3 linked regions of the Yarrowia lipolytica genome follow. The protein of the gene in region 3 interacts with the protein of the main gene of each other region in a pairwise test. Links are inferred from orthologs where the notes say so. Each region holds a gene or a part of one and is shown on either strand. Other genes may lie near its edges.

Region 1 (11,494 bases), on a different chromosome or scaffold from region 3:
TCCGGTCAGAATGGTGTCCACAGCGGAAATCGACCACCTCCGGTGGAGCATGGGACCACTTACTCTAGAGAACTTCATGTTTCACAAGACCTCGTCTCCCGACTTGCCAAACTTCCCACACACACTTGCACGACCGAAGAAGTGGACTCAACGAAGCGACTACGGGGGCATCTCTGACGACATGGTCTGGCAGGAGGTAATGCATGACCTTCGAAAACACTACATCGCCGACGCCAACAAAGCACAAGTTCTTCACCTCATGCGGATATCTCGACTTCCGCTCGTGAAATGGAGATACCCTGACGACCACGTTTTCACCAAGAAGAATCCAGGATGCGGGCTCTGTGATAAGGCCATCATTCAGGATCTGCACGAGCATATCTTCTGCAAGTGCGAAGTTCTTCTTTCCATGTTGACCAGGATGAAGATTCCGTCAGTGGACTCTCTAAAGGACTGGATCTTTACCGAGTCGAAATGTGGAGTACTCCCCTCTTTCCCAGGGCATGTGAACAGTGACGCCCCCCGGAAACATCAACAAGTCAAGACACGCAAATATCTGCGGGAATTGGCTTATGGGATCTGGAAGATGGAGAGATCCCTCCGGTACTCAGGGGACGACGCCACCCTGGGACATGTCCAACAGGGTTTGCTTCAATTCCTGAAGGAAGCCCAGATGTGTTTCTACGATGGACAACCGCCAGCACTTCACGATGAGCGAGAGTAGACACAGTAGCAAGCGTAAAAGGCGGCCGAGGCCACCGAGAGAACAGCGTAGCAGGGCGCGTAGTCACCACAGGGGACGCAGAACCAAACCAATGACGAAGAAGAACCACAAGGAGAAGTTTTCAAAGGCAATGCAAATGAAGAGGGCAATGGAAGGATTGAGATTAGAGAACTGGAGACTGGAGTGGCGTTTTCCCGATGAACGAACAAACACGCGAAGCTATGTGGACCAACATACAACACGGACTGAACCAGGTTTTTTTATGATTTTTTTACTGGAAATAGGTACGTGCCAAGTTGGACCATGACACTAAACGTGTTTAATTAGTAATATTCGTGTAAGCGTACATTCATTTCAAAGGTTATTCTTTCACGGCAAAGTTATAATTAAATGAATGTATATGCAGAAAAAAAAAAAAAAAACAGTGATACTTAGAACAGCCCTAATTACTGTAACAATGGTATCACTCTATATATATGACCCATGAAAAAGACCCAAAAATACAACAGACCCTGAAACCAGACTGACCAGTTTATTCATCATAAAACAAACGTATACACATTTTCACTCTCGATAAAATGTTCCTGAAACGAAAGATACTTGCGGGGATCATGAAATCAGCCCAATTTGACCAGTCAATCGTCCCTACAAAAGAGTGATACGGCTGATGGAGCATTTTCATGCCCCAAATGTCCCCATTGTTACACGTGCACGGGAGCAGTTATATCACCTGTGGTGCGTATATTGGTGATATCTACAAGTAATAGTATCTACTTGTATGTGCTGTGCATACAATAGAACATACTGTATTTTAGCCGCTCAAATAAACTCTGCAGAAACTCCAAACTCACCTCCGTGATCTAGCGATAGCACCCTACAGTAGCTAGAGTCCACATGCAGGACCGGTCGCCACATGAGATTCGTCACGTTCAACATCTGTGGCATCAACAACGTGCTGAGCTACCATCCATGGAACGAGCAAAGGTCGTTTGAGCACATGTTTGCGGTGCTGAAGGCGGACGTGATCTGTTTACAAGAAACCAAGCTCCAGCCCCATTTGCTGAAGCGAGAACACGCCCTTGTGCCCGGATACGATTCGTACTGGTCTTTTTCCAACACAAAAAAGGGCTACAGCGGCGTGGCGGTCTATGTGAAACATGGCATCAAAGTTCTCAAGGCCGAGGAGGGTCTTACCGGTCAGCTGGTATCTCCGGACTCCAAAAAGGGACTCACCTACCAGCAGCTGTACGAGCGGCAAAGGGAGAGAGACGGCAGCAGCAAGAGTTGTATCGGCGCCTATCCCGAGGGCAATCCACAGCGGCTCTTTCAGGTCGATTCGGAGGGCCGGTCTCTTGTGTTGGACCTGGGGTTCTGTGTCGTGTTTGGGCTCTACTGTCCTAGCACCGCCACCGAGGGCGAGGAGCGAGATGCCTACAGAGACGACTATTTTGGGTTGCTGGAGGAACGGGTCAACCTTCTGGTTGAGGCTGGACGAGAGGTGGTGGTCATGGGAGATCTCAATGTGGCACGCGAGCTGTACGACTCAGCTGAGGGAATGCAAGCGCTGCACAAGGCCAAACACATCACTCTACCGACACTGGGAGATAAGGAGGAGGGCAGGTTTGTGGAGGTGTTTGAAAAGCTCAACCCGGGACAGTGTAAGAGCTGGAGGGAAGCCAAAGTTGGCCGACGAGTCTTCCACAGACTGGTCCCCGACCTGTTACAGGACTCGTGCCGCGACAAGCATCCCAATCGACCCGACATGTATACTTGCTGGAACGTGATGATGAACTACCGGCCCGGAAACTTTGGGTCTCGTATCGACTACGTGCTGGCCTCAAAAGGTCTGAAGGTGGAGGATGCCGATATTCTGCCCCACCTGGAGGGCTCAGACCATTGTCCCGTTTATGCAGAGGTGCGCGAACCAGACGCGTGCCAAGAAAAAGACAACCGTGCCACTCAAGGTGCAGCTAACCAGACCAAACAAGCGTCGTCCTCAGCCCCAAACTCGTTTCGGCCAAAACTGTTCCACAGAACTAACAAGCAGTTTGTGCAGACCACCTCGGTCATGTCCATGTTCCGGGCACAAACGCCGCCGACCAAGGGCATTACCAAACCCAAAGCGCCCTCCAAATCGACTGCCAAAAAACAGGCGGCCATCTCCTCCTTCTTCCAAAAGCCAGATCCAGAAGCTGCCGTCGTATCAACATGCGTCTCGGATGTGCACACAAAGCCGTTGGGACAATCACAATCACCCGCCGCGTCCCCAAATATTGAAAGGACCTATCAAGGTTGCGATGCAGGTGCGCATGCGACTCGAGAGGGTGAAGATACGAGACCGCAAATGGCCACCAGACTGGACTTGCCAGAGCCCACCGAGTACCTAGACATTGCGGAGCGCGTGGAGGAGGCCGAAAAGGTCGCGTCGCAGTGGTCCAAGATCATGACAAAAAAACCTGCCCCCGTCTGTGCCCACAACCTCCCGGCGGTGCTAAGAACCACCCGCAAAAAGGGACCCAACCAGGGCAAGCACTTTTGGGTTTGTGGCCAGAACCACTCGCTGCAGCTCGTCGGCGACTCCTACAAGGCATCGGCAGACCCCGACGCCAAGGGCTCCCAGGACGACACCAGTGCCAGATGTAACTTCTTTCAGTGGAAATAAAATTAAATTATAATACCGTTAGTGTGTCCAATGATAAACGTACAGTGAGTACAGAAAATTACCAAGCTCAACCCAGTGTGGCATGCTTAAAAAGCTGCCTGTTGGTGAACGAGCGAGTAGTCAAGTCATCATAAGGAGAAACGAAATCATCAATATCCAGAATGTCAAAATAGTCCTGCCCATCGGGAGGCTGCCGAGGGACGTGCTGCTCCTGTGAATCTGATCTTGGTCCTTGCGATGGGAGAGTGATATCATCCAGGGGCATCATGAGGAATTCTCGAGTAGGTGTATCGAGAACAAAGTTGGGGTCATAGCACGTAACGTGAGAGTTGTTGCTAAAGAAAGCAGTCATTGGGCTAACAGTCATCCTTCCCCCGACACCAACGGTAGGGCCGACCAGTACTTGGAGAGCAGTAACCTTGTTCTTACCCTTTGCTCCCTTTTTCTTAGACTTAGTTGCACCCTTCTGGACCTTCGGCTTCTTTGGGGACTTGGGCAGTTTGTTCGGGATATACTCAGGATAGTCGACTTCGTGGTATAGGGCTTCGAAGAAACCCATATACTTGAACCATCGCCGAACAATAGGATTGGGGATTCCCGAGCCCCAGATATAACTGGAGACCCTCGAAACAAATGCTGAGTTGGGATCAATGCTCTGAGAGCATCTGGATGTTGCATTTCGGAACAAGATGTAGCTGTTCCTAGGTTTCAGAACTTTGGGTTCAATGTACTCAGGCTCATTCGTTCGACTGTCTTGCCTGATGAACAGCCCCTTGTGACCGTCATATTGCAAAAAGTTGAGTGATATTTCCAGTCCATTTGGCTTCTGAGTTAGAACCGTACGTGAATCGCTAGTGTCCCTGTCGAATAACATAGCCTCGGGGTAGGGCTGTTCTGTTTGGGGTAGTTGAAAGGAATGAATGTGTAGTATCGTGTTTTCCATTTTGAGGATGTTATGTGTGGCTTGGTATAGCTGATAATAGCCAGCCAAGAGAGTTGCATGTTGTTTATATATATTTGTCGATATGTGTTGGTCTGGAAATACTAGATCTCTAGTTTAGGCAATTGTGATGAGGCAAGAGCCAATGTCGCTTAAGGTGTCTTTGTTCCAGAACCATATGCACGGCGTGCATGAATAATATCGGGGTAAACTAGCCACATCCACCTCGTCTGACCAGTCCAAGTGACCATTGTAAATATATATCTAGAAACGGCCCCACCAAGTACACCCTGGTACTTAATTAAACAGATACGACATTTTTTTTCTCCCCACATCACATGCCTAGCCGAACCCCTACAGATATCTGGCGCTGCCAGCGCCTGATCTTGGCCGCAAGAAAAGGCGAAACCACGTGCCAGGCCCTTCACGAACAGTCAATCGAAATCTCCAGTTCCCTTAAATGGTTTGAAGAGATTTCTGAGTGGATGTCCAAATTCCCTGAGAGTGGACTCTACATAAGCACAACGATTTGGACCTTTTTGGAGGGTGTTCCAAATGAACACAGAATCAAATACGACAGGCTGATTCGCCACTACATCACTTACATCCAGCAACTGGTACCAGCGAGATTAGTGAGTATATTGAAAACAAGAGCAGTATTGGGGAATACTAAAACAGAACGAATGGATGACCAGTAAGGCCATACTGGGTGCTGATTGGAATGATGAGTACAGTCTTGCAAAAGGAATTGCCGCAGAGCTGCTTGATGACTATCTAGAGGTCGCAGCAAATTTAGACAAAGACATAGAGGCGAAATCAGAGGCCTATGAGGCCAGCACCAAAGACCTCGAAGTCAAAGCCAGAGCTCTAAAAGAAGCTGACAAGTTGCAGAGTCTGGATCACAACTGTGACGTCTTTCCTAAGAAAGTCCGGAATAGGTTAAGTAACGAGGTTACCGCCTATCTTGACTCTCTGTTCAAGATCTGTTCTCATCCAACCAGAACAGAGAGGAGAATTATTGGAGAGCATTGTGGAATCTCACTTCATCAGGTTACACAATGGTTCACCAATCGTCGGTTCAGAGAGCCCAAGACGGATTCCCCTGATGATGGATCAACTAGGTTCATACCTTCACCCATGACTAGTCCCGGGTCCATTGATGAGTGCAGCTTCCCTGAGAGCCCTTAGCATTTCTAATAAAGTGGTTACAGTGGGGTTTGTCTCATGCATGTCAACATAATTTGCATCGTAATAAATAGTGTGTGTCATAGTAACATAGAACTGTCGCATTGGACAGTTGTCATGTAACGAGTAAAGCATCGCAGAGCCTTCTTCATCATTCGATCACTAAAAATATCATTTCATTCATTTACCATACATGTTATACATACATCAGCCGCGCGTAGCTTAGTCCTCCTGGCCAGGAATGGACTCCTCCTCGTCCTGATGCAGGTAGGCGACCTTTCGCATCTGTCCAAGTCGCTTTCGGGCGCCCTGCAGATCGTTTTCGAGCTTGAGAATCTCGACCTGCTGTTCCATTTCGGTCGTCTTGAACTCGTGCTTGGAGAGGGCAGCGTAGTCTACCTTTTCGTCCAGCTCGCCAAACTTCTTGTTGAGAATTTCCTGCACCTGCTTAGGTTTCGGCAGGCGGAAGTAACCACCTTTGAACACTCTTCCAGCTTGTCCTGGGTCTTGGACATGAAGGTAGCCTTTACTCGAGAGGCAGCAACCAGCTGAGCAGTGGAAGCAGCGACGTTGTTGGAAGCCACAATGAGCTCCTCGAGACCAGAGGTTCGTCGGAGAGTGCCGTCGGCCTTCTCGATGAGAATGTTGGTCGATGCAGCTACACTCTTGGCCGCGGAAATAAGACCCTCGGTCCACTTGTTGTTCTTCTTGTAGAACTGTGCTCGAGAAGAAGTACCTCGTCCCTGGGCTACAATCTCGTTCTGGGCATCGGTGGCAGCTCGAATCAGCGCAGCAATGGCGTTGATGACGGCCTGGGCAGCCTGGATGGCAGCCTCGTGCAGCTGCAGGTCGGTGGTCGACTTGAGAGGGTCGGACTGGTTAAACTTGAGCAGATCGCCAAGCTTAGCAGAAGCAGCAGCAATGGCATCAGCAGCCTTGGCCATCTCTCGCTCAACGAGGTCGCCCAGATCACCAGACATGTTGATGTTGGTCTTGGGGGCCATTCGCTCGGCCAGCTTGGTGAGGTGCTGAAGAGCAGTCTGCACGTTCATGTTGAGAGTGATGACCCGCTCCATCTTGTCATCCAGAGGGAAATCCTCAATGATCTCAGACAGAAGACCAATAAAGTTTCGCTCTGTGGCCTCGGCAGACTCACGAGCAAAGTTGACAAGGGCGTCGGCAGAAGCATCGTCCTTGGCCAGACGAGTGAGACCCTTGGAGTTGGACAGAACATTCTCCACAGCAGTAGAGTAGATGTTGACGGTCTTGATGATCTCGGCGTAGTCGCCATCGGTTTCGTCGGCCAAGAAGTTGTTGAACGACGTGGCAAAGGCGGAAGCAGACTCGGACGCCTTCTCGATGACAGACAAGAGATACTCGGGAGTCGAGTTCTGGTTACCGGCCTGCATAGGCGACTCGAGCTCGAAGAGAGCGTCCTGAACACGCTGGGAACCGGACTCTAGAAGAGCATCAATGATAGAATGCAAAGCAGCCAGGGGAGTGGATCCACCGTTGCTGTTGTTGCCCTGCTGCTCCTGGTGCAGAGCCAGCGAGTTGAAGGCTTCGTTGAGAGCCTCGTACTCAATCTCCTTCTCTTCCAGTCGTCTCAACAGATCAGAGTCATCTCCTCGCTCGTCCAGAGCCCGCTGCTTCATCTTCAAAGCATTCTCAAGCTCTGAAAGCTCTCGGTTATGCTTCGACAAAAGAAGAGACAGATCAGCACCGGTAGATCGGTCCTTATCGGCCAGCTTGTCCTGGGCCATTCGAAGCTCTCGTTCCAGACGCTCCACGTCCTCCTTGTTGCCACCCTTGGCACGGTCAAGATCATATCGAGCTCGATCTCGCTCCTTGATGAGATCAGCAAGCTCAATGTTCTTGTGTCGCATGTCTCGCTCCAGCTTCTCAGCCTTCTCAATGGCTTCCTTAGCTGACGCAGCCTTCTGTTGGGTAGCCTTGAGCTTCTTGAGCAAGGCAAGATATTCCTCTCGCATGGACGAGTACCGTTTGGCCAGAGTCTCGTACTTTTGCCGCCACATGGTGATCTGCTGCTGAAGAGATTCAATCAGATCATCCTTGGCCTGGGCGCTCTGATGAGCAGTCTGCTGCAGCTGATTCAGCTCAGCCTCCAGAGCCTTTACTCGACCATCGTACTGCTCCAGCATGAGCTGATCCTGATCGTACTGACCTCGGAGAGCCAGAATGTCTCGCTCAAGCTCGGCCATTCGACCCTGGGCATGTCGGGCCATCTGGTCGGCCATTAGTTGTTCCTGAGCCCGCTGTTGCGCTTCCATCTGCTGTCGCTGCTGCATTTCAAACTGCTGCTGCTGCTGCATCTGCATCTGCCGGATGCGCTCCTCCTCCATGGCCTGTTGCTGCCGTAGCCGCTCCTGCTCGGCGTCGTACTGTTGCTGGGCGAGCAGCGCGTCCTGGGACCAAAAGTTCTCAATCGGCTGAGCCTCAGCAGGAATAGAGGGCGTAGGGGTCGCCACAGGCAAGGGAGCGGGCTCTGGAGACACAGATCGGGTCTCGGCCACGGACTTGGGTCGCTGGGGGAGTCCAGGTCCGTCCTCCTCTTCAAGCAGGTTGGGAGGGTTCTTGCCGAGCTGCGGGATAGTCACGATGGATCGCAGGTACTTGAGAGTAGAGCAATCGTAGTAAAAGTCTCTCAGGCGGTCGTGCTGCGAGTAGAATCGCTGCCGGAGAGACTCAAGAGCCTCGTCGTTACCAGTAGACACATGCATGGCTCGCAGCATGGAGATGACGAACCGGTAGATTCCGTACGACTCGGCAATCATGGGAACCAGAGACGAGATTTTGCACTCGTTGGATCGGGATCGCTGCAGCGACGAGAAGACAAGTCGCTGGAAGTCGTCCACTCCGTCCTGGAGGGTCATCAGGTTCATAATGGCCTCGTATCCCTCGTTGGGGTCGTTAACGGTTCGCAGAGAAATGTAATCCTCGTACTCAAACATTCCGTTGAAGGCCGGGTGGTACTTGTGGAAGGTGAGCTTCTGCATGAGGAACCGGACATACTCGGAGATGAGCTTGCCATAACCATGGTTGCCCTGGTTAGGACCAGTGTAGTTGTTTCCTCGAGCCAACGACTGGATGAAGTTGACATTGGCCTGGGCATCTCTCAGCGCCGATGGGTGGCCCTCCTGAAGCACCTTGTGGATGGTGATCAGGGCCTTGAAGACCATGACATCGTCGGTCTGCAGGGGCTGAATTCGAATGCCGTTCCAGAAGGCCTTGGACGACCGGTGGTCATGGGTGTACACAATGCATGCTCGCACGTGTTTCCGCTTGGGCGCAGACTCGTCTGTGTTGGTCGCCTTTTTGATGTTGACGTTGAGGTCCACTTCGGCTCTGTTGGAAGACATCGTAGAAGGGAGTCTGAACTAGTTGTTGAGTTTGTGTCTTTAGCGGCTGTGTCTGTGTCGGGTTCGTTCGTAGTCGCTGTGTCTGATTGCTTTTGTGTCTGCGTGACTCCTTCCTCGCTCAGATGAACAACTCCAAGTCCAAGTTCAGTAAAGCAAGTGACACCGGTGATAACGCATAGCCTCGTTATGCGGTGTTTTTATTGGGACAACTTTAATGTCACAGTGTTAAGTCCGAGTGAAATTTGAGGGTCTCTAGAGCTGAGGAGCAGAGAGCGAAAGTGGCAATATTGTTGCATTAATACGGACTTGCTGAACTTGTGCCATGTCAACTTCTGGGACTCTCCAACACCGAGATCAACAGAGTTTGCCACAATACGAGTACGAGCACATACTGACACGTCAAGGACATCTCCAATACACCTACATACATGAGGAGTAAAGACGGCTAGCACTCGTATCGATCTAACCGGCTTAGTAAGAACCCTAGAATAGCTCAATTGAGAACACAAAGTCTTTGGGAGTAATTGTGGTCCGAATAAGTCCCTGTATAACCACTTGGAGGACTTATCAGAGGGTTTTATATCATCCTAACCGCCCCCTCATGCTGATGCTGCATGAGATATTAAACGGGGAGTATGCAACCCGAGAACAGAACTGTGTGAGTGTTTGTGGGGAGTGTGTATGGGGTCACGTGATAGATACCAAGCGTCTCATGACGTGATAAATAAGGTCCGTCTATCGGTCTTTCTCTTACTCAGCAGCAAGCGCTTGCGAATGGCTTAGCTACGTGTCTCCACACTAAGACATGGGGTATGCATCTTTAGGTTGTGCCGTTTGGAATCTGGAGGTTTCGTGGGAGGGGTTTGGAGGGGAGGTTAGAAGTGGTATTGAGAAACTGAAGACGTAAAGGTGTTTATTGCAACTTTGTGGTTCCATTTCAGCTTTAAAAATTTCAATCTGGTGAGTATTGCGTCTTTTGGTAGACTTGTTCACCCCCCTAATTAGCGCACAACAATACGACACCTAGAGCTATTTCGAGAGACATTGAAAAAAGATTGGAGAGACTTAAAGAGATGGGTTTATGAAGTGTAACAGCCGTGGCTGGGTGGCGAGAATGGCAGTGATGACTAATTTTAGGGAATTAAGCAAAATGCCGTAATGCAGACATGTTTTGGAGGGTACATTAACTAGTTTTTGGGTCAATAAATACAGGTAATTTAGTTAACATAGTGGTTAGGTATTGGTTAAGCAAGATATGACAAAGGTATCACGTTCTTATAAAAAAAATATAAAAAAATATAAAAAAATATGGAGGTTTAGCTGACTTCGTTGTTAGATATTGGTTGAGCTGGAGATGATCTGGGAGAGGTTTTTGGGAAGCCTCGTGAACGCCATTTGACTGCTTGTTGAGAATTCACCAGTTCCCCTGATGTTAGTGGGTCTGGTTCCGTGTGATTCATGCCGTAGTGTATCCCTAACTGGATCTTTGGTCCATCTCAGCTAGATAGCTAAGCGTAAAGACATCATCGTACCGTGTCTAAAGTTCATGGGATGAGTCTACAGTAGATCAGCGGTGTTTTTCCGACGTCAGATTCACCTCAAACTAATCACTTGCATCAGTACAACCAGACCTTTAGTTTCATTACTCAGGCTTATGTAACTCACGCTATCGAGCAGTCTACAGCAATCGTCAAAGGTACAAGCGCCAAAATCAAGTCATATTCTGGAACAGTACGGCTCTCACTTCAGATTACCATCTCTTGCTCTCGTATATACGTTGCGCCACCAACTCCAGCCTCCGTTACCCCCAATATTGCAGCGTCACACTGGCGTTAATGGTGCATGGTATGGAGCAAGTGGAAACAGAGTAGAGGGCTTAGAGAGAGCTTAGATGGAGCTAACAACAGCGATAAGAGATATTAGACGAGTGCAAAGAGAAGACCTTCAGCTGAAAAAACCCCAAATGACGCATGTTTACTTATCTAAACCACAAACACGTCGTCTGAGGCACGTGCTAGCATCCCCGTATCCTGTTAAAACTGTGATCGACGAATCGCCAACGTCCTTGTTTTGACGTCATTTTACATTCGGTTCTTTCAGGGGGTGCTTCTCAGCTGTTTGGACTGAGACGGAACGTTAGCACAGCGACGTTGATAGTTGGTGGCAGCGGAAAACGGAGGGCGTAGGAAGTAATATGAGGTCACGTAGGTGCCAGTAATGTCGAAAAAAAACAAAAAAAAACAGCTTCGTTGCCCAAAAGCCGTCCAAAACCACCGTTTTCTAGCCCCTTATCGAGACTCCCTTGCACCTTCCACCTCCTTCGAAGAGCTCCTTTTCACACCCTGTGTGCACCAACACTGCACCAACCTTCTTTGGAAAATTAGGGTTAGGGTTAAGCCCCCACTAGAGCGAATCCTCCCAAGGGCAACCATTAAAGTCGCCACATGACGGGCTTACCTTTCTCTTCTCTACTCCAACAAAAAAACACCCTCCCCCTTCACTCGACAATCTGGACATAGGTCTCTAGATCGCGCCAATAACAGTTTATGTCTACTTCTATCGAAAACCTCAAGTCCTTTGGTGAGTATTTATGCGGTTTGCTC
Region 2 (11,623 bases), on a different chromosome or scaffold from region 3:
AACGAGATTCTTCCTGAAGCTCTAAAGATGGGTGACCAGTGGGTCATTTACTGGTGTCTTTGGAGCCAGGACCGACGAGGCGATGCCGTTCGATCACTGGTTTCCCACGAGTATCAGGATAAGAAGCGGGGCTCTGCACATATCGTGTCCAACTCGCGGTCGTTCCTTTCCAACGACCCAGCTCTGTTGATTCTGTACCAGTTCCTGCGAGACTCCAAGTTTAAGGTGGTGAGCTCCAACAACGGCGTCACATCAGCCACCGAGCTGCAAAGTGTGTTCACTACTGCCAAGCTATACTCTCGAATGGGCTGCGAGGTCATTGCCTTGAATCTTGTCCGAAACTGGAAATTCAAGAAGGACGAGGTTCCTGAGAAGGCTGATGAGGACGTCCAGGAGAACCAGAAGCCTGACGCGGACTCCCTTGCTGCGTTCAGGGACTTCAAATCCAAACCGGCCCCCATTCCTGCTAGCGAGGGTCCTTCCATGTTGGAGGGATTTGACATGGGTGGTGGTGGGAAAGGAGCTCCTTCGATGTTGGATGGGTTCCATGAGCCAAAGAAGGAGTCCAAGACCAACGCTAGTCATCCTCCTTCTATGTTGGATAGTTTCCAGGAGCCACCTTCCATGCTGAGTGGATATGAGGAGCCCAAGAAAGAAAAAACGTCCAGTGAACCTCCCTCGATGCTGGACAGTTTCCATGATTCTCCGAAGACAGAGGACAAACCAAAGAGCGGCACTGAAAAGAATGGTGTCAATGCTGCGAAGAAGGAGGAGGAGGACAAACCAAAGGCGGATAAGCCCGAAGACAACACTGAGAACGGTGACAAGACTAAGAAGGAAAGAAATGGCAAAAAACCAGCTCCCCCGAGCCAGTTCCAGGAGCCCGACATGAGCGCCTTCTCCTTTGGATTCTGATACATTGAATTACAAATACAATCGCATAACTATATGAATGAAAATAACTTATTTAGACCAATAATGTATCGTGGACTTGTCCGTGACAGACAGAATTACACCACAAGAATGGAACCACGCCTAGATGATTGCTACTGCAACCGACAGCTTCGATGAGCTGGTTGGTTCGCTTATTGAGGCATGTTTCCAAAGCCCTCGTTGATCTTTGCCTTTGAGAAGTCCATTTCCGGGTGCTGTTTTTTGAAATTCTCCAGGAGCTGCTGCTTGCGCTGCTCGTCCGACGTGGGCTGGCCCATTTCCTTCTGCCGCTGGTCGTACATCATCTTTTCCACCATGGCTCGTGTTTCTCCGTCCAGATCACTGAGGTTGGACTTCTCTGGCTCGATCTGGGAAACGTCAATCTTGGGGGCCGTGGTAACCACGTGTGGCCACCATTCCTGGTTGTGGACCTTCTCAATGCTGATGGTGACTTCTCTCTGGTCCTCCACAGTCCACGTTGACTCTTCAGGGGCGATTTTGCCAAACAGATCGCCTTGAAGAACGGGAGGCTGGCCCACGACACCTGCCGAGATGGTCGTGGGGGTGAATTTGATATCCATCTGCTTGCCACGAGTGCCTGGAGGCACGGGGAAGGTGATTGTGATGTCCTGGAGCGTCTGTCGCCACGCGTAGTGTTCTTCTTGGTGGCTCATGTGTGTGTATTGTACTGTCTGTACTGCAGCGTAGTTATGCAGATTAGTTGGAAAGCTAGTTGAAAGGTTTGGAAGAGAAGTGGAAATACTAATAATAACCCAACGGGTAAAAAAAGCTTGACAGACCCCTGCTGTGCCCGCAATTACCCTCAGTAGAATGCGTCATAGATATACTGGCACAGTAGTGATAGGGGGCTCGAGCGCGAGTTTCTGGTAGCAGTATGACAGGACCGAGAGTACCACGGTAGGGTAACCGATGCGACGACCAAGAGCACCCTCCCCCCAGAACACCCCGCTCAAGCGCATTAGTAAGCATTCCGCCGCCGCCGCATGAAACAACTGATGCTACAATATGTGCTCACACGTCACCGCATGTAGTGCAGCAGGAAGTGTATCGAATGGGAGGTGGGAGGTGGGAGGTCACGTGACCGGGACGAATGCGATGGCGGCGACGGACCTACTGATGGCCTTTTCTGGTCCACCTGTTCACCGGGGGGCATTTATTATGTTACCCCCTTCAAACACGCCAAGAGATTGCTTCCACTTCCTTGTTTGACGTTTTCCACTGTGGTCCCCCCCATGTTATGAATTAGACTTTGGTTTGGGCTACACTGACACTCCACATCACCAAGTGTATCTGCACTTGTATCTCTGCCATTGGGACTCTTCCGCCTCGGACCACGCCGAGATTGCGTCTGCACCCTATCCTTCTCACGAGGCCACGTCATTCGGCTCGATCGCGCTCCGCAAACACTCTGTGCCACTGCTCGCTCAACATTCGCTTGTCGATCGGAGTGCAAGCCTGACACCGACCGCCGCCGTGACCGTGATGGACCATTCGCCGTCGCCGCATCACCGCAAAATGTCGTCCAACGGGCACCTGATGCCGTCGCTGATCGGACACAAACAGCAGCAGCAGCATCAGCAGCAGCAACAACAGCAACAACAACAGCCACCGTACCCGACAGACTACTACCGTAAGAGCTTTGAGAGCGCGCCCAACGTGTCGGCCTCGAGCTCGGCAGCCGCTGCCTCTTCAACTTCAGCAGGAATGGGATCTCCGCACATGTCCCACTCACAACGCAGTCTGTACTACCACCAACAGCAGATGGGTCCTTTTTCGCCCTCGCAACCGCATCCGCAGTTCCAGACGTCCATGTCCAACGCCCTGTCGACCCAACAGCTGCCCCACCCGCAGCTCATGCACCAATACGAGCCCTCGTCGCCTGTGTCGACCCGCAGACCCTCACACGAACCCAGCCACTATCCCCCGACGCAGACACAGTACGGCCTGCCCCCCGGGCTCCAGCATCAACAACATTCGTCGCCACATGAACCGCTGTATAGGTCGCAACCCGGCACGCCACTGGCACCTCAGATGCAGCCCGGCACTCCTCTGGGATCAGTGCAAATGTCCTCTTCACCTGTAACGCCCCAATCGGCTTCTTACAACCCCTGGGCGTCCCCTCACAGCACCCCCGCAGGCAACTACGCCCGATCGCGGGTGTCACCGGTGCGCAAAGGCCAACCATCTCAACAACCCCAGCAGCAGCAGCAGCAGCAGCATCAACAGACACCCCAGCAGCATTACAATCCCGCCATGCCGGCAACAAAGCCATACTATTGGACGCAACAGGCACAACAAACACCTCAAACACAACCACCTCCCATCACAGCTCCTCAGTCGGCCCCTCAAGCGGTACACGTGGCTCCTCAGCCCATTCATGCAGCTCCACCACAGCCACCGATACAGCCTCAGCCGCAACCGCAGGAGCCGCCTGCGTCAATTCCTCCTCCATCCTTCCGACCGGTTGAACGGGCTTCTGACCTCAATCCCCAGGTCAACCCAAGACCCCAGAATCGTCGGGCAATCCCCGAGGGCGGCTACATGTCGCCTCTCATGTGTCTGACGTTGCAGCTGTCAGCCACGTACCAGATCTGCAACTCGGGCTTCAACTACGAGTCGTCCAAGAACCCACGCAGGGTGCTCACCAAGCCCAGTGAGCCGAAGCTTAACAATGGCCACGACAACAGAGACAACGACTACATTCTGTACGTTAATGACGTCCTGGGTACTGACGAAAACAAGCGCTATCTGGTACTAGATATTTTGGGTCAGGGTACGTTTGGGCAAGTGGTCAAGTGCCAGAACATGAAGACTAAGGATATTGTGGCGGTCAAGGTGATTAAGAACAACCCAGCGTTCTTAAACCAGAGCATGATGGAGGTGTCGATTCTTGAGTACCTGAATAACTCGGTCGACAACAAGGACGAGCACCACATTTTGCGGCTCAAGGACAAGTTTTTGCATAAGCAACATTACTGTCTCGTGTTTGAGCTGCTGAGTTCTAACCTCTACGAACTTCTCAAACAGAACCAGTTCCGGGGCTTGTCTATCAATCTCGTCAGGGTGTTTTCTCGCCAGCTTCTGGACTCTCTCACAGTGCTGAAAAACGCCAAACTCATCCATTGTGATCTCAAGCCCGAAAACATTTTGCTCAAAAACCTCGATAGTCCCATTATCAAGGTGATTGACTTTGGGTCTGCTTGCCACGAAAGAAAAACTGTCTACACATATATCCAATCGCGGTTTTACCGATCGCCCGAGGTGTTGCTCGGTATCCCATATACCACCTCCATCGACATGTGGTCCATGGGCTGCATCATTGCCGAGCTATTCCTCGGTCTTCCCATCTTCCCTGGAGCGTCTGAGTACAACCAGCTGTCTCGAATAGTGGCATCTCTGGGTGACCCTCCTAATTGGATGGTTGAGATGGGCAAGAACAGCGGCAAGTTCATGGAAAAGATTGTGGACGACCAGGGCCGCAAGCGATACCGGCTCAAGTCGCGGGAGCGATACTCCCGTGAGTTTAACGTGGATGAAAAGGAGTCCAAGCAGTACTTCACATCTGCAAATCTCAAAACCATTATCATGGAGTACCCCTTGCATAAGAAGGATATGAAGCGGGCGGATATTGACAAGGAGATGCTCAACCGCGAGGCGCTGTATGATTTCCTCATGGGTTTGCTCAACTACAATCCCTTTGAGCGGTGGACTCCTCAACAGGCGGCATCTCATCCGTTCATCACCGAGTCCAAGTTCACAGGTCCCTTTGTGCCACATCCCAAGGAAGAAAAGGACGTCTTCCACCCCACACCGACAGCCCAGCCCATTTCGCAGTCCCAGCCTCTACACGCTCAGGGCCAGAACGCCAATGCCATGGTCCCCCCCGGCCCAGCTGCAGGCTCCTCCGCAGCTCAGACGTCTGCTGAGGCGGCGCAGTATGCACACATGCAGCCTCCTGCCAACTGGAGCACCGGTCTGAAGCAGCAGAACTCGGGTTCGGGTTCGAGACGACCGCGAGCGTTGACATATGGATCCATGGATCCCATTCCGCCGCCTATTCAGAGAGCAACGGCTATGGTTAATCCTGCGGACCATATCCAGGCCCAACCCAGTCCCGCGTACATTCCTCCATCAGAGCTGACCAGGAATCACCAGGGACAGGGAAACGAGTATGGTGAGGTGGTGAGAAAGTTGGAGAATGGGTTGATGAGTCGGTGGTAGTACATTTGATGAGTCGGAGGTAGTACAGTTGAGGACGTTGTCCGAGTGCGCTATCGTCGAGTGCGAAGGAGGCCGGTCAACGGAAGACGTAATGCTGTGATTAACCAGCTCAACTACTAGAAGAATCTTTGCATCATGTATAAATGGATTTACATATTTTTATCCCATAACTGGTACTGTAGGCAAGGCAAGATTGGTTTTCCTTTTCGTTGTCCGAGTAATAGTTGTCGTGCCTGATGACAATAATCAGATTCATGTTGAAGCATGCATTATAAATATCTATCTACAGTTTATTTCCCATTTCATCCACGGGGACCACCTCCTGTATCTCCTCGTCCTCATCTCCCACATCCTCGACGGCCTTATACCTCCACTTCTTCGTGGCTCCATTCCACTCTCCAGCCTGTCTCAGTAGCTGTCTCATGACTGCCACCTCCTCCTGATTAGTCAACTTGAGAGCAAACTCGTTGGCAATGTCTTTCGACGACAAGCCTCCTGCTCCGGCCAGTTTGAGACTCTCGCTGATCTTCTCCAGCAGCTTGACCTTGTCCAGATCGCTCATGTTGATCAGACCAGTGTATGCATTAGTAGACTCCTCCAGGGATTTCTTCGCCTTAATGTTTTGCAGAATGGAGGACGAAGAGAACTTGTCTGACCCAAATTTCGGCACTCCGACTTTACCAGCCGACTGCTTCTTCTTGCCAAACTTTCCGGCACTGCCAAACTTGCCCGTCCAAGTCACAGTTCCAATGTCGTTGGCCTGTGCCTTCTTCCGCGAGTCTCTGAGAGCTTTGGCAGCTACTTCAGCAACTCTCTTAGCCTCTCGTTCGATGATAACGGTCTCTGGACGAGACGCATCCATGATAGCGTCGTGTTCAAGTGCAGAATGCACACCGGTCTGAGAGAAGATGTCGTTGAGAATGTTGTCATCGTTATCTCCGTCATTACTCTCGGCTCGTTCCTCCTCGCCGTTCTCAAACTTCTCAAGCTTGGACACTCCATTGAGACCGACCACCTGGTAGAAGTCGTCGTCGTCCTTCATCTTCTTCTCGGGTTTCTTGTTCTCAATCTTCTTTTCGGAACCGGAGAAAATCATACCCGTCTCGGTGGTGTCTCCTTCTCCGTCGTCAAGCGAAAACAGATCGTGAATGTCGTTCATCTTGAAGAAACGACGCTGCTTGGCATCCTTGAGAATCTTGTTGGTCAGAAACTGCTTGAAGATCTGCCGATGATAGATTTTCTCTTCAATCGTACCTGCCGTCATCAAGCGGTAGACAACAACATTTCGTTTCTGTCCCAGACGCCAGGATCGTTCTCGAGCTTGCAGATCCGTACTGGGGTTCCAATCAGGGTCAAAAATGATGACACGATTTGCTCCAGTGAGGTTCACACCAAGCCCTCCCACTCGAGTTGTCAACAAAAACAAATCGTACGACGTGTCCTTGTTGTATGTGTCTACCATATCCTGCCGCTTGGAAATGGGTGTGGTGCCGTCCATTCGAAGATACTTGATGTCAGGCATGTTAGCAAAGAAGTCTTCCAGGATCTCCAACATCTGACGAGTCTGGCAGAAAAGAAGCGTCCTGTGACCCTGCTTCTTCCACAGATCCACAAGAGCCTTGACCACCTGCATCTTTCCTGATTTGGCAGGGTCTCCGTAGTAGTAATCCGCTGTCTTCTTGAGGATCTCTCGAGACGCGAGGTCAGGGTGGTTGCAAATCTTACGTAGGATGTCGATACCAAATAGTGACTGCCGTTTTCCGGCCAGAATCGATTTGAGTTCTTCGGACTTGAGGAAACCCTTGTAATGCAGCCTTTGCGAGTCCGTCAGTTTGCAGAAGAGCACCTTCTCCTCCTTCTTGGGCAGATCAGTGGCCACATCAGTCTTCATTCGACGCAAGAGATACGGTGCGATCAGGTCTCGAAGTACAACGGCACACTTGTAGGCAGTCTGGACCTGGATGTTAGTAGCATTGGCGTACCCTCCAACGTTGATAGGAACAGCAAACTGCGAGTGAAAGACAGGCAGGGTACCCAGTCGACCGGGACAAACAAAATCCAACAAACTCCACAGCTCGGTGAGGTTGTTCTGAATAGGTGTTCCTGACAGAATCAGCCGATGCACCGTCTTGAGCTGCTTGCAGTCGAGAGTGATTTGAGAGTCAGGATTTCGAATCTTGTGACCCTCATCAAGAATGCAATAGCCCCATTCACGGTCCAGAAGCAGCGAGCGATACGATTTGAGACCTGCATAGGTCGTGACAACCACGTGGCCGTCCTTAAACACCTTGTCAATAGTCTCAACGAGATTCTTGGTGCTTGAAGGAGTGGGTCTAATCATTTCATCATCATCGTCATCAGAGTCAATCTCACCTTTGCGCTTCTTTTTGCCCTTGCTCCCCTCGCCCATACTATGCAAAATCACCACTCTCAGAGCCGGCCACCACTTATGGAACTCCTCAACCCACTGTTTCATGACTGTGGCAGGACACACGACAATGACGGGTTTGGTAAGCAGACCAGAATGATGCAGACCGGCCAGGAAACTGATAATTTGAATAGTTTTGCCCAGACCCATCTCGTCTCCAATGATACCTCCCGTCTTTTGCGTATGCAGCTCCCACAACCACTGAACACACGTCTTCTGATAGTCAAATAGAGCATTGAAGATTTCTCCAGGCACCTTGAAGTTGCCCTCAAGAATAGCATCGGCCTCAGGTCCGTCTAAAAGCCATTCCTCCTTGGCATAGTCACTGGCAGGAACGATGACTCCGGCTCTGGCCCTAGCCTTTTGGCGCTTTTCCACCCACCAATTAAGCCGTTGCTGATAAGACCACTCGTCTCCGTCGTCGATAGCTTCCGTCTCTGGTCGTTCGGTACGTCTCCGCTTCTTTTTCAGCTCCACAAGCTCCATATCTTCAGGTTCAATCTCGTCCGTAGTGTATCCAGATGAGTAAGCGTCCGCGTCGTCTTCAGCATCTTCTTCGTCCTTGATTTCATCCTCTCCGTCATCGTCGTCGTCCTCTTTGATATCACCGAGTTCAGTAATAGTGCTCGAAGTATATGGCTTGCTGGTATCAATGTTCTGAGTCACATCTCCTTTTCCTCTAGTAAACCCCCTGGTGTTGGCGAACGGGGTGATTTTTCCGGTTCGAACAAGGTACTCCTGTTCCGACTCGCCTTCATGTCGATCCGACGCCTGTAGCTCTGTAGTTGCACTGCTGGTGTCGTTCTCTTGTAGTCGCTGTCTGATGTCAGAAATGTCCTGCTGGACCGTGGCGAGCTCGGTGCGCTTGAGAGTGGCCACGTCGCGCTTCAGCTTCTCGCGCTCGCTGATCTTGGTGGCGGGATCATTGATCTTTCGCTCCATGGACCGCAGTTTACTGAGAAACGTCTTTTCAGCATCCTGCGCCTTGGAGAGCCGTTTGGTGTCGATCTCAAACTCGCGCTTCTTGAGAATCGAGTCTGCCTCATTGGTGATCTGGTTCTCCAGCGTGCCCTGGTCGACCACGTCCACCGAAAGCCGTGATAACTCGTCCATCAATGTTGCGCTAGTCAATATAATGGAAAAAATTAATTAACAGACAGCGTACATGTTCATCGAGGTTAATCGTAACCTAAAATTTTTGTGGCGAAAATCAGAAAAATAAATTAGGTTTTTTTTTTTTTTTTTTTTTTTTTTTTTTTTTTTTTTTAGAGCAGGCAGGAAAAACAAAAATATGGAGAAATAAGGGTGATAAACCATTGATATCCTTGGGCAACTTCACTCTGAGCCGATAAATCAAGCCAGAAGGATCATATATACGGGAAAACCTCCAATAATCACATGAGGGAACGCCGTCGTGTTTCCACCGTTGGAGGAAGAATCATGAGGTCGATGCCAGCGACTTATAAGAGTAGTTAGGAGATGATTGGGTCTGTTATCTGACAGAGAAAGGCATAGAAACACCCATGACACCCATGTAGAGTCTTATTTCTTTCCTACCGGTACAGTAAGTCCTGTTGGGTGACAGTCAGAGATGCTGACAAATACACCTCCAGTAATTTAGTGTTTTTGCTTTTCGCACTGAGAGGCGAAAAAGTGAGATTGTTGATGAATATTGGTGTTTTTTGAAGCATATGGTTTTTTTTCTTCCGATTTACTGAATTATCTTGGAATTTTCTGAATTATCTTGGAACTTTCTGACTTGTTTGGAATTTTCTGACTAGTGCGAATTTTCTGAATTTCCTTTTTCAATTTACCGAGTCATCAACGGTACATGAATGGCGCAAGTCCGTTAATGTGGGGAGCATGAGACGAAATACACAATTGAAAATCGGATTAAATCGAGGAAAAATTGAGAAATATCCGTCTGTGAGCCGAATAGTCGGTATCTCACGTGTTATCCACAAAAACAAACAAGACCTTTCAGTTTACCAAAAGTCACACGTCCATGTGGCTTCGGACCCCATGTCTCTATCCAGTGAGCAAATAATGAGCATTTAGAACGGCGTAATGAGCATATATGTAATCAATTGAGCAGATTTAGTCTGCGGAAACAACAAGTCTAGCCTGATTTGCACGTTTTCAAAGCTGCAATTTGCTCATCGTGGCTTGCTTCCGTCCCCTCAGTTCCTTGTACCTTCCACTATCCTCATAACCACCAGGGTTCTCTTAAACCCCAAGCTACAACCCCAGGAATCAGCTTTCTCTTTCTTAGTCCAAGACCCCAATTTGCTCTCGTCAACACCAAAATGTCCTACGTCCTGCCCCCTCTCCCCTACGCCTATGATGTGAGTATTGTTGAGGATACAGAACATGGAGGACACGGCCGGACACGGTCAGGGTCAGACATGGTCGGACACGATCAGGGTCAGACCCGACAGACATAGATTTTTCGACGGGCCCTGAAGATAATGACAGATGGACAGACAGTTGCCAATGGGTCAGTCCTCATTGGCTAAAGCAACTACCCCTAGGCAACCGTCTCATGCATGGTCTCAATCAGTCAGCATCAATGCTCCGGTCTAAGTGGATGGAGGTCGGTACAGTACCTGGAATAGTCCCTTGTCTCTGTGTGACCAGACATGACCAAATATGGTACAAATCTATTGGAAGAGCAACTTGATTGACTCACCCGACTCAATTGATTCACGTGGTGCCTAGTCCGTCTGTTAACCGGGTCTCTGTCTAAACTAATCGAGTCCCTAAGTGATTCCCGGGACTCGACGTGTCTAGCCCTGTCAACTATCGGGTCTGCTCTCCCTGGTTTAGATCCCGTCAATCACTCTGCCTCTGCTCTCGTACTAACCTAGGCCCTCGAGCCCCAGATCTCCGCCCAGATCATGGAGATCCATCACTCCAAGCACCACCAGACCTACGTGAACAACCTCAATGCTGCCACCAAGCAGCTGCAGGAGGCTGTCGCCGCCAACGACGTGGTCAGACAAATTGCTCTGCAGAAGGCCATCAACTTCAACGGAGGAGGCCATGTCAACCACTCCATTTTCTGGAAGTCACTGACCCCCTCGTCTTCCGACGGAGCCAAGGGAGGCGCGAAACTCAAGGAGGAGATTGCCAAGCAGTTTGGCTCTCTGGATGAGTTCAAAGCCAAGCTCAAGGCTGATCTTCTGGCTCTCCAGGGCTCTGGTTGGGCTTGGCTCGTGTCTTACCCCGACGGAACTCTCAAGATCGAGGTCACCAGCAACCAGGACGCTATTTCGGCCCCCGGAGCCGTCACTCTGCTGGGAATCGACTTTTGGGAGCACGCCTACTACATCCAGTACTACAACAACAAGGCCGCCTACTTTGACAACCTCTGGGAGGTGCTCAACTGGGACTTTGCCGAGAAACAGTGGGCCCAGCGACCTCTGGCCAAGTACTAAGCCCTTCCGAGATTACCAGTAAGTAAGCTGGCAGAAACGAGCCCAATAGTATACGATATAATAATTAAATGAGCTTGAAATGAAGAGAGATTTTGTTAGTACAGTTATTTGATACTTATTCAACCATTACTGACGAAATATAGTACATACTAAGTCGTACATACCTGTCAATACTGTATGTATGGGAGATGAGAAGGCTTGTAAAGTCTTGAGAATCTTGCAAGACACTCTCAGGAGTTAAAAGGTATCATATGAGTACCAGTACATCCATCTATGGTGACCCCAAGACCAACAGTTTCACTTATACTCTTCACTAATACTCTTCACTTATCTCGAGTTCAACCTGGAGCGCCTCTTTTCATGGATACGAGAACCCAGATATGACTATTTACCAGGAAAAACCAAAATTCCCCACCGACCGTACAAACCCATCACTGCTGCAATCATGTCGCTCTAGCCAAGCATGTTTTGTGTTTTTTTATTTAATTTTTATTTAGTTTTTATTTAGTTTTTATTTCCGGAGATTAAGTTCAATGCGCATCTTAATTAATTGCCGGTACCTTAATAACTCCGAGTCTCCATG
Region 3 (9,719 bases):
TCTACCCGTGGATACATCTTTCATTTGTGGCTGTTATATTATTATTCACTATTTGAATCAGGTGTAACTCATGACATTGCCACTCGCGAACGACAGACTCTCCTAGTATACATTATTTTTACATCGCGGTAGATGTCAATGTCTGTATCAAACTCTACCAAAGTGTTGTTGCTGACTAGTAATAGCTTAGTAGACCTTCTTCTTCTCGTCAATGGAGATTTTGCCGGCTCCGGTGTTGACAACCAGCAGAAGACCGCCAATGATGGACAGGGTCTGGAAGTGCTCGTACTTGAGGTAGTCTCGGACGGGAGAAGAGGCGGGGAAGGCCCAGTAGGAGTTGGCGGTGATGTTAAAGATGAAGAGGATGATGCACAGGAGGAACGCGGAAACTCGGGCCTTGAAGCCAACAACGACCATGGAGCAAGCAGCAATTCCGACAATGGACACCAGAACTCGAGACATAGTCCAGGTCATATTGAGGATGAAGGAGGTGAACATGACAACCAGGAGGATTCGGCCTGCCAGGAGCACGTACTTGGACCGGTCCTTGTCGTCAATAGAGGGGAGACCAGGGAGACCTCGCTTGGACTTGTCCTTGACAAAGGCGTCGTTAAGAGCGATGAAAAGACCGCCAATGACGGACAGGTTTCGCAGAATGAAGCCAAAGTCAAAGATGAGGCCGTAGGCCAGAGCCTGGGTGACAATGACTCCGACCAGCAGACCGCAACCGACCTCAATTCGCTTCTTGGCGGTGACCATGAAGGATCCGGCGATCATGGCAACCACGTTGAGCAGCAGAAAGATGACGGTGATAAACTTGGGGATGTGCTTGAAGTTGGTGATGTAGTAGACCTGGTCAGACCACTGTGTGAGGATTCGGAGCGCGTCCTCCAGGAAAGTGACGACAATGAGGAACCGGCCGAGGGTGGGAAGATGGGGCTTGACCGGGCCCGAGTACTTGTCCAGGAAGACCTCAATCTTCTGGGTCACGGCCTTGACCTTGTCGGCAAAGTCGCCCTCTGTGATTGTGGATTTGAGGTTGAAGTCGCGGTTCTGGGAGTAGGACGAAAACTGTTGACCCTGGGGGGCTGCGAATTGCGGCGCGTCGCTCTGGACGGGTATCTGGTGGTATTTGGCGGTGCCTCGGATCGACATTGTTGTATGGTGTGGTGTTAACACAGGAAGATTGTGAAAGGTAGAATATGTAATCTTGTGTGTGCCAGGTGGTCTTTCGAGAGTTTGTTCAGATCAGCATGCCCACTTCGCTGCAGTAGCCAAAAACAGATGTGTGGAATGGGAAGGGTGGGAAGCTGGGACTAGGCAGGGTAGTTGTAAGTGGACGTTGGAGGGCTAATATATCTCCGTTATTCCGCCATTGCGTGTCCTCTTATACAGATTGGCCACTTTTACGGCGATGACATCTCCCATCTTGCTGTTCTCTTCGGTTAATTAATTAGGTCATCTCAAACTACAGTATTAGCTACAGTCCACGTCATGCGGCGGCAAGCTACTGTATTTGGTGGGGTTGGGGGGGAAAGGATGTTTATTACTGTAGAGCAGGCCTGGCGTAAGCTACTGTATAATGGCTGAGGGACGCGAGCATGGGTCTACGACTCATATGTAGGGCTAGATTGACTTACGGGCTCAAGTGATAGGAAAGGGCTTGTATACGCAGTAAAACACACGTTAATAAATAATTCAATTGAATCAAACAATATAAGTACAGTACGGGTACCCCAGATCGTCTACTCTATCGGTTGTGTCTCTCGCAATACAGCGTCCCTTTTTCCACCTCACGGTTTCACTTTTCACGCACGTCCCCAAACCTTTTTTAGCCGGGTCAAACAATGACGTGGCATCTGAAGGCCAGCTGGCTGCACTGCGTGCACACGGGAGGTGTGAAAGAGAATGGCTTCGAATGGGGTAAAGTGAGGCCATATGGGGCAGATGGGCATGTGCTACGAGAGCATGAGGCCGGTAGGGGTCTAAATGGGGTATTTGACTTGATGCAGATGGCAATTGTACGTGCACCGAAGCGACGTGACTCTCAGTTGAATACTGTTGTATACTGCCGTATACACTGTCCGAGGTCTATAGTGAGCAAGACTGATCAGTGTGGAAGTATTACTAACCGAGACTTAGTTGGGATCCTACAACGGTCTCAAGTAGCTACTGTAACGCGTCCGTCTCCTTGTTAGGAAAAAGCCCGTCTTTGCCTTCACAATCACTCTCTCCCACTCCTACACCAGTACGATACTTGACAGTGTATCGCATCTTAGTTGTACCGTAGTTTCACGCTCATTCCCCTCCATTGTTTTGACACGCTGGTCCATCGAACCTAAGACTAAATCCGATGCACGCGAATCTCCGGAGCCAGAAAAAACAAGCAGGGAAACGACAGCGAGACTAGAGATGGTATTGTAAGTGAGGAAAGTCGGTTGAAACTAGTACATAAAGAGTGGGGCCAGGCGGGTTGGTGGATTATTATCTTCCAAATGCTCGAAGACACGTGTATAGCTCATTATCTTCCCCCCCCCTACTCATCAAGCTTGGGTCATTGTTGCATTTAATGTTGTGCATTTCCAAGCCACGTGACCCGACAAGCGTTACCCTCCCTGACTCTGATGATGATTTGGCCTTTTTCGTCCCACAACCAACACAAACTCCTTTCTGGACTAATTGCAGCACTCAACCCAGACAGTCTTATTCATTCGATTTTGAATAATCAAGACTTTGTCATTAACTTATTGCATTTTATCGATTGCGTGAACTAGAGTGAGTATCTCTCGACGATGGATGGGCCCCTGGAGCTCCTCCATTAATCATTTCCCAGCACCTAGGGGTGTGAGCCCCGAAACACATGACAAGATACGATGAACAGAGGTGTCCCCAACGCCATCGACCAGCAATCAACATGATCAAACAGCCGCCATCCATTCCGACACCGAGGCATACACTTGTGCCATTTTTATTTGCCGACCTCCCACAACGCCACCGTGACAAAACGACACGTTTATCTTATGGCTATGCACATGCGTATCATCATGTATGATAGGGCACAACAACAGGGGGGGGGTTCGGGGCAATCAAAGGCAAGCGAGGATGGATGGAAGCCAAGCAGTACACGGATGGCGTCGTGTTTGACACTTCATACTCTCCACGCCTGTGCTGTCGCTGTCTGATTGCTCGCGTGGCTTTCTTTATTTTTCATGGTGCTGCATGGGGGGTGTTGTGTCAAGTCGTCGCGTCACCCTTAGACTTTTCGAGAAGAAATTTTCAACCTTTTACAACAACACACACATACTAACAACAAGATGGGTCTTTACGTTTCCAAGCTCTTCCAGGGCCTCATTGGCCGAAAGGAGATGCGAATTCTGATGGTTGGTCTCGATGCCGCTGGTAAGACCACCATTCTCTACAAGCTCAAGCTCGGTGAGATTGTCACCACCATCCCCACAATTGGTTTCAACGTGGAGACTGTCGAATACAAGAACGTCACTTTCACAGTTTGGGATATCGGTGGACAGGACCGAATCCGACCTCTCTGGCGATACTACTACCAGAACACCCAGGGTGTTATCTACGTTGTTGACTCCAACGATCGAGATCGAATTCCCGATGCTCGAGAAGAGCTCCAGCGACTCCTCAACGACGACGAGCTCCGAGACGCCCTTCTCCTTGTCTTTGCCAACAAGCAGGATCTGCCCAACGCCATGGATGCTGCCGAGATCACTGAGAAGCTTGGTCTGTCTTCATTAAGACAACGACCCTGGTACATCCAGGCTACTTGTGCCACCTCTGGTGACGGTATCTACGAGGGTCTTGAGTGGTTGGTCACCAACCTCAAGAACACTACTTAAGAGCCATGTTTAGTAACTGTAGTTAATACTGTATCGGTAGTATCTGGATTGTGGAAGCTCAGGTGGAGCTTTATATCAAGGAATTTCATCGTTCAATAAAGCTAGATGTAATGAGTATACTGAAAAGAATGAGTACAAAGTGCATCAGAAATCGTAGCCTCGTATCGAAGCCATGTACAATTGTACCCGTGGACGTGGTCGTTTACGTTGCACCTTTGCGACGCACTGTTATCTTATCAATATGTACTCGTAGATGCCAGCTGGCCTTTACTGGGGCTAATCAAACCATCTGCACAGTCGTGTCAGCGCTGTATATTTGTTGTACAAATACACCTATGGGATTTCTGCTTCGATCCAGTCCCTAGTATTACCTTTCGAGGGTGTTTCCGTTTGTGAGGGTGAAAATTTCATTTCAGAAGGAGCACTTAAAATAGCACCCAATTGGCTCTCTCACCTCCAACCAGGGGGGTTGTGAATTTGACGGAGTTAGCCCGGGGAGTTTGGTAAAACTACACTAGAGTGACTAATATGATGTTCCCAGAGTTTTAGGGTGTTTTATCTTCTTTTTACGTGTCCGGATGGTCGGGATCTTGTATTCTTCCACTGGTGTGTTTCTTGTCGTGTCATTTGCCAACCTCTTGCACTGCCATCTTTGGATTGGATTGGATGCCATGTGGTTGCACCTGGTGCGAAGTGTTCGATACACTCCTAATTACTTGTACGATAGTTGGTGGACGATGTAAAACGATGACCAGCTAATGAGTCATATTCTTGTAGTGGATAATCGCCATAAGGCGCTAATTGTGGCCATTTCCCTCTACAGTATGGTTCTACTGGTAATTGGATGTCTTGTGTTGTTCTTCGTTCTCCTCTTTGTCAAAAAAAAAGGCCTCGAAATTAATATGCCACACACGAGTGATAACCGTGTGGTTGCAGTGAAACATGAGGTGTACGTCATTTGGAACGTGTATAGAGAAGTTGGACTTTCTGACAGTGACAGAGTTGATGTATTACGGCCATTCGAATATATATATGGGGTAGCTGTAGTTGCTTTTCCACTCAAGTACGATACGATACTTACTTGGACACTACACTTCCTATAACCAGCCACCTCCCTCCCATCCCATCAGCAACAAGTAAGTTACCCTACCGCAACACCACATGCAGCTAATCGCTCACTAACAGACACTATCGGTGCCACATCATGAGTGCTCAAGGTAAGCTGGAGGAGTGGGAAATCAACAAGTACTGGGACATTTTCAGCGGGCTCAAACCCGTCAACAATGTGCTCACCGGCGACCAGGTTTCCCCCGTGCTCAAAAACTCCAATCTGTCGGAGGACAAGTTGGCCAAGATTTGGGATCTGGCCGACGTGGACAGTGACGGCTGTCTCGACTTTGAGGAGTTCTGTATTACCATGCGACTCATCTTCGACCTTCTCAACAACAACATCAACGACGTGCCCTCCACGCTACCCCAATGGCTGGTCCCACAGTCCAAGGCCCACTTAATAGAAGCCAACAAAGCCATCAGCCAGCCCCACTCCAAGCTGGATGATTCCGACGACGAGGATCTCGAGAACCTCGGTCTCTCTACAGATTTCGACTGGTACATTTCGCCTGCCGATCGAGATTCCTACTCGGCCATCTTCACAGCCAATTGTGACCGTCATGGCCGGGTCTCCTATGATGCTCTGACGGAGCTCTACCAGACTCTGAGCCGGGTGCCCGAAGGCGACATTGCCATGGCCTGGAACCTGGTCAACCCCAAGTCCGACGAGCGGATCGAGAAGGAGCAGTGTCTGGTGTTTCTGCACATGCTTAACTATCGAGAAAAGGGAGTGCGTATCCCCCGAGGAGTGCCTGCGTCGCTGCGAGCCACCTTTGAGAAGGCCACCCCTGAGTTCAGCATAAACTCGAGCCAGGCCGAGCTCAAGCCCCAGAAGAGCAACGCCCCTGCCTCCAAGAAGGAGGCGTTTGCCAACGGCTACCTGCAGAAGCTGGGTATTGGAGGAAATTCGTACTCAACATCGGGCACGGACTTTTCGGCCACCAAGGACACCGACTGGGAGGAGGTGCGGCTAAAGCGGGAACTGACGGATCTGGAGAACCTGGTGGAAAAGGCTGAACGTGCGGCCGCCGACTCAAAACAGCACGGCAACTCGTACTCCACGTCGCACACTGCATTAATCAAACGAGAGCTGGAGCAATTGCTTGATTACAAGGAGGAACAGCTTCGGAAGGCTAAGAGCGGCGCTCCCGCGTCGGTGGGGGAGACCAACCTCAAGGAAAGTGAAGAGGAGGTCAATCTGCTGGAGATGCAGGTGAACGAGCTGGAGGTTCACCAGCAGAGAAAGCAGCAGGAATTGGACCAGCTGGAGGCAGAGTTGGCTTCTCTGAGAAAGTAAGTAGAGCACCATTTTCTAGTAGAAGGTGCACAACTGAGCTGTATATTTAATGACAAATTTGACGAGCAATGAAGAAATGTCTGAAAAATGCTGGAAAGCATAGCCAATGAATGACTGGAACAGGACGTGCATGTGCGAAGACAGAGATTGCCAGCCGCTTTTCTAAAAGTGAAGCAAACATACAGCTCGAGAGATCTCATGATACAAATCTATGCATAGTAGTCACCGTTATATATAAGCCCCCAGTTAAGAGTATTCTCTTTGTACAGTATGTACAATGTGTCGACTTATGCTCTCTCAATCTGTGCCGGTGACAGTAGGTAATCTCAGTCTGGAAGCACTACAAGTACTTGTAGATATTGTAACTACTCGTAACTGTTGCTTTTGCCTTAGAATGGGAAAGTGCACGACACTTCTCAATGGCTAGGAGATAGATGAGTGTTGATATTACTTTAAAATCTAAGTAACCTACTTATCATGTTACTTATTGCGAGCTCGAATCCCATGAAACCCACTCTTTGATCTGCCAAAGAAGATGTTGCATGCAAAAGCCGTCCTTCTGAATCGACCCAGGTTGTACCCTAATGCATCAACCATTGAACTACAAGTACTCCATCCAATGCCATCACGGGTTGTACTTCCGTGAAAAGCCATCTTCCTACTCTGGACTTTTCAATAGCACTCATTCCGAATCTCACCCTACATTCCCATGTAACCAGCATCGCTCTATCTCAACTAAATTGTCATTTATGCATCTACTTCTTGTCGCCTTCCTTCTCCTCGGGCTTGGGGGTGGGGAGCTTGAAAGAGTCGGGTCGGTCGTCTCGACCGGGTCCAACAGGCTCCCAAGCGGTGGAGCCGGCAGAGAAGTTTCGGAAGGCCTGGGTAAGCTCCAGGGGCTCGTAAACCACTCGTCGCTTCTCCTCGTCCCATCGGACCTCAGTGTATCCGGTGAGAGGGAAGTCCTTTCGCAGAGGGTGGCCCTCAAAACCGTAGTCGGTCATGATTCGTCGCAGATCGGGGTGGCCCTCAAAGAAGACTCCGTACATATCGTAGGCCTCTCGCTCGAACCAGTTGGCGCCCTCGTACAGGCAGGTGATACTGGGGACGGGGGTCACCTCGGTAGCGTATGTCTTAAGTCGGATTCGCGAGTTGTGTCGCACAGACAGAAAGTTGTAGACCACCTCGAACCGGTTTTCTCGAGAGGGGTAGTCCACGGCGGTAATATCGATGATGGACTTGTACTGAGTCGAGGTGTTGTCTCGCAGGAAGGTAGTGACGGGAATGACAGCGCTTGGTGCAACGTGCAGAGTCAGCTCGTCCTTCCACACAGAAAAGCCCTGGATGTACTTGGGCAGAGCAGCCATGATGTATTTGGCGTACTGGTGGAGGTCCGACACGTGCTGGAGGTATCGGTCTGCGGGGTTGACGATGGGCTCGTAAACCTCGTCAACATGGACCTTGGGGTCGAGTCGGATGTCCTTGATGTTCTCCCAAGAGGGGGCGGCCTGGGCGGCTCGGGCGGAGGTCACAAAGGTAGCACGGGCTGCTGCGACGGGGCGGATGCCCATGCTGCCAATTCTGGCGAATCGAGAGAGCATTGTGTTAGTTGTGTGTTGTGTGTCACGACGGCTCCTGCGTAACCAGTATTACAGGCTTTTGCACCAGACAAGAGTTGGGTTTGACAATTGAATTTTGGCGAGTTTGATTGGGCGAGACGTTGGGAGAAACCCTGCACGTGACCAAAAAGTGGGAGGTATTGAATAAGTGGGTGTATGAAGCGGTGATGGGGTAGGGGTTGGTCGGAGATGGAATTTAGGGGGGTCAGATAAGTATTTATGTTTTTTCCCACAGGCATTTTGATAGTAAAACACCGTATTAGGCACATTTCTGTCCTGTCCTCACATGTCATTAGACTCCATACAAGTGGAACTTAGTCAGCCGAATTGGGCAAGCTCCCAGCAGGCACAAAACACGCCAAATTGTGAACTTACCCGGCACTAAACAGACAACTTGGCGATACAACTCTCTTTACACCACACACAGATAGCGTTGCCACACTACCAACCTGATCTGACCCATACACCACGTCACACATACAATACGACACCACAAAACCGCATCTTCATCATCACCAAGACAGACACACACAATAATGGCATTTCAGGCAGACTCTTTCATCTCCGATGAGGAAGAAGAGGTGTGTCCTCTCTGCGTCGAAGAGATGGACATCAGTGACCGAAACTTCAAGCCCTGTCCGTGCGGCTACCAGATCTGCCAGTTCTGTTACAACAACATTCGTCAGAACCCGCAGCTAAATGGCAGATGCCCCGGATGTCGACGGCCCTACGACGACGAGAGTGTTGAGTACAAGGTCATCTCGCCCGAGGAGTGGAAGAAGCATCATGTCAAGCAGACCAAGCAGGAGCGGGAGCGAAAGCAAAAGGAGCGGGAAAAGAAGGAGATGGAACAGAGCTCACGCAAGCATCTGTCGGGCATGCGAGTTATCCAGAAGAACCTCGTTTATGTCATCGGCCTCAACCCAGACATACCCACCGAAGATCTGCACAACACTCTTCGTGGCGAGCAGTTCTTTGGACAGTATGGCCGCATCCAGAAGATTGTCATCAACCGGCGCAACAACGTCAACGGCACCCCCGGCCTTGGCGTCTATGTGACGTTCTCCAAAAAGGAGGACGCCGCTCGATGTATCGCTGCCGTGGACGGCTCCATGAACGACGGCAAGTACTTGAGGGCAGCGTACGGCACCACAAAGTACTGCTCGTCATACCTGCGGGGCCAACCCTGCCCCAACCCCAATTGCATGTTCCTGCACGAACCTGGGGAGGAGGCAGACTCGTACACCCGGCAGGATCTCTCCACAATTCAGCATGCGGCTCGACAGGGCATTCAAAAGCAACAGCGACAGCAGCAGCAGCAACAACGGTACGGCGACTTCCAGCAGCACTCCCAACCATCGCCCGTGCAGCCCAACACTCCTATTAGACACCAGAGTGGCCACGCTGCAGTGGCTCAACATGCCACTGAAGACATCCATGGAAACGCTCTTCCTGCCACTGCCTCTTGGGCCAAGCAGAGCCCCACAACCCCTGCTGGAAAGCTGCATACTCCCGCCCAGGCCTCTCCTGTCAAGCCCACTCCAGTAGAGCCTGCTGTGAACTACCCTATGCCGGATCCGGATCCCAAGCGTCAGATGGACTTCACTCTGCCCTTGTTCAAGAACACACTCAAGTCGCTATCAAAGAACAAGTTTGACTTTGTGTTCTCATCGGCCATTCTCAAGTCTTTGGATCTGGACGACGACAAGAACTCGCTGCCTAATCTATTTGCCTTCTCTAAGGACAACATCATGGACCCCAGCAAGCACGAATCGTCCGAGTTTCTGGAGGGCCAGTTCACACCCTTTGCCATCTTTTCTGGTGGTAAAGCCG

Evidence for each region.
Region 1: the proteins of YALI1_F03389g (region 3) and YALI1_C09923g interact in a protein complementation assay, tested with the Saccharomyces cerevisiae proteins (2 studies listed by BioGRID, with this or other methods). The link is inferred for Yarrowia lipolytica from reciprocal best matches to the Saccharomyces cerevisiae genes END3 and SLA2.
Region 2: the proteins of YALI1_F03389g (region 3) and YALI1_C23755g interact in a two-hybrid assay, tested with the Saccharomyces cerevisiae proteins (2 studies listed by BioGRID). The link is inferred for Yarrowia lipolytica from reciprocal best matches to the Saccharomyces cerevisiae genes END3 and RAD26.

The regions. Positions count from the first base shown.
Region 1 is NC_090772.1:983,494-994,987, forward strand, and holds YALI1_C09923g (uncharacterized protein), read right to left. Parts: upstream 8,892-11,494; coding exon 5,907-8,891; downstream 1-5,906. Other genes in the region: YALI1_C09803t (uncharacterized protein), read left to right, coding at 1-724; YALI1_C09851g (uncharacterized protein), read left to right, coding at 1,638-3,386; YALI1_C09878g (uncharacterized protein), read right to left, coding at 3,454-4,329; YALI1_C09885g (uncharacterized protein), read left to right, coding at 5,014-5,514. UniProt on the Saccharomyces cerevisiae protein: Required for cellular morphogenesis and polarization of the cortical cytoskeleton. It might act in concert with proteins such as CDC42 and CDC43 to limit the region of cortical patch formation to the cortex of the bud.
Region 2 is NC_090772.1:2,372,669-2,384,291, reverse strand, and holds YALI1_C23755g (uncharacterized protein), read right to left. Parts: upstream 8,717-11,623; coding exon 5,459-8,716; downstream 1-5,458. Other genes in the region: YALI1_C23873g (uncharacterized protein), read left to right, coding at 1-915; YALI1_C23826g (uncharacterized protein), read right to left, coding at 1,086-1,607; YALI1_C23818g (uncharacterized protein), read left to right, coding at 2,437-5,175; YALI1_C23738g (uncharacterized protein), read left to right, coding at 10,146-10,196, 10,471-11,040. UniProt on the Saccharomyces cerevisiae protein: May be involved in the preferential repair of active genes.
Region 3 is NC_090775.1:334,313-344,031, reverse strand, and holds YALI1_F03389g (uncharacterized protein), read left to right. Parts: upstream 1-5,064; coding exon 5,065-6,267; downstream 6,268-9,719. Other genes in the region: YALI1_F03428g (uncharacterized protein), read right to left, coding at 187-1,155; YALI1_F03407g (uncharacterized protein), read left to right, coding at 3,315-3,860; YALI1_F03371g (uncharacterized protein), read left to right, coding at 6,852-7,910; YALI1_F03356g (uncharacterized protein), read left to right, coding at 8,423-9,719. UniProt on the Saccharomyces cerevisiae protein: Component of the PAN1 actin cytoskeleton-regulatory complex required for the internalization of endosomes during actin-coupled endocytosis. The complex links the site of endocytosis to the cell membrane-associated actin cytoskeleton.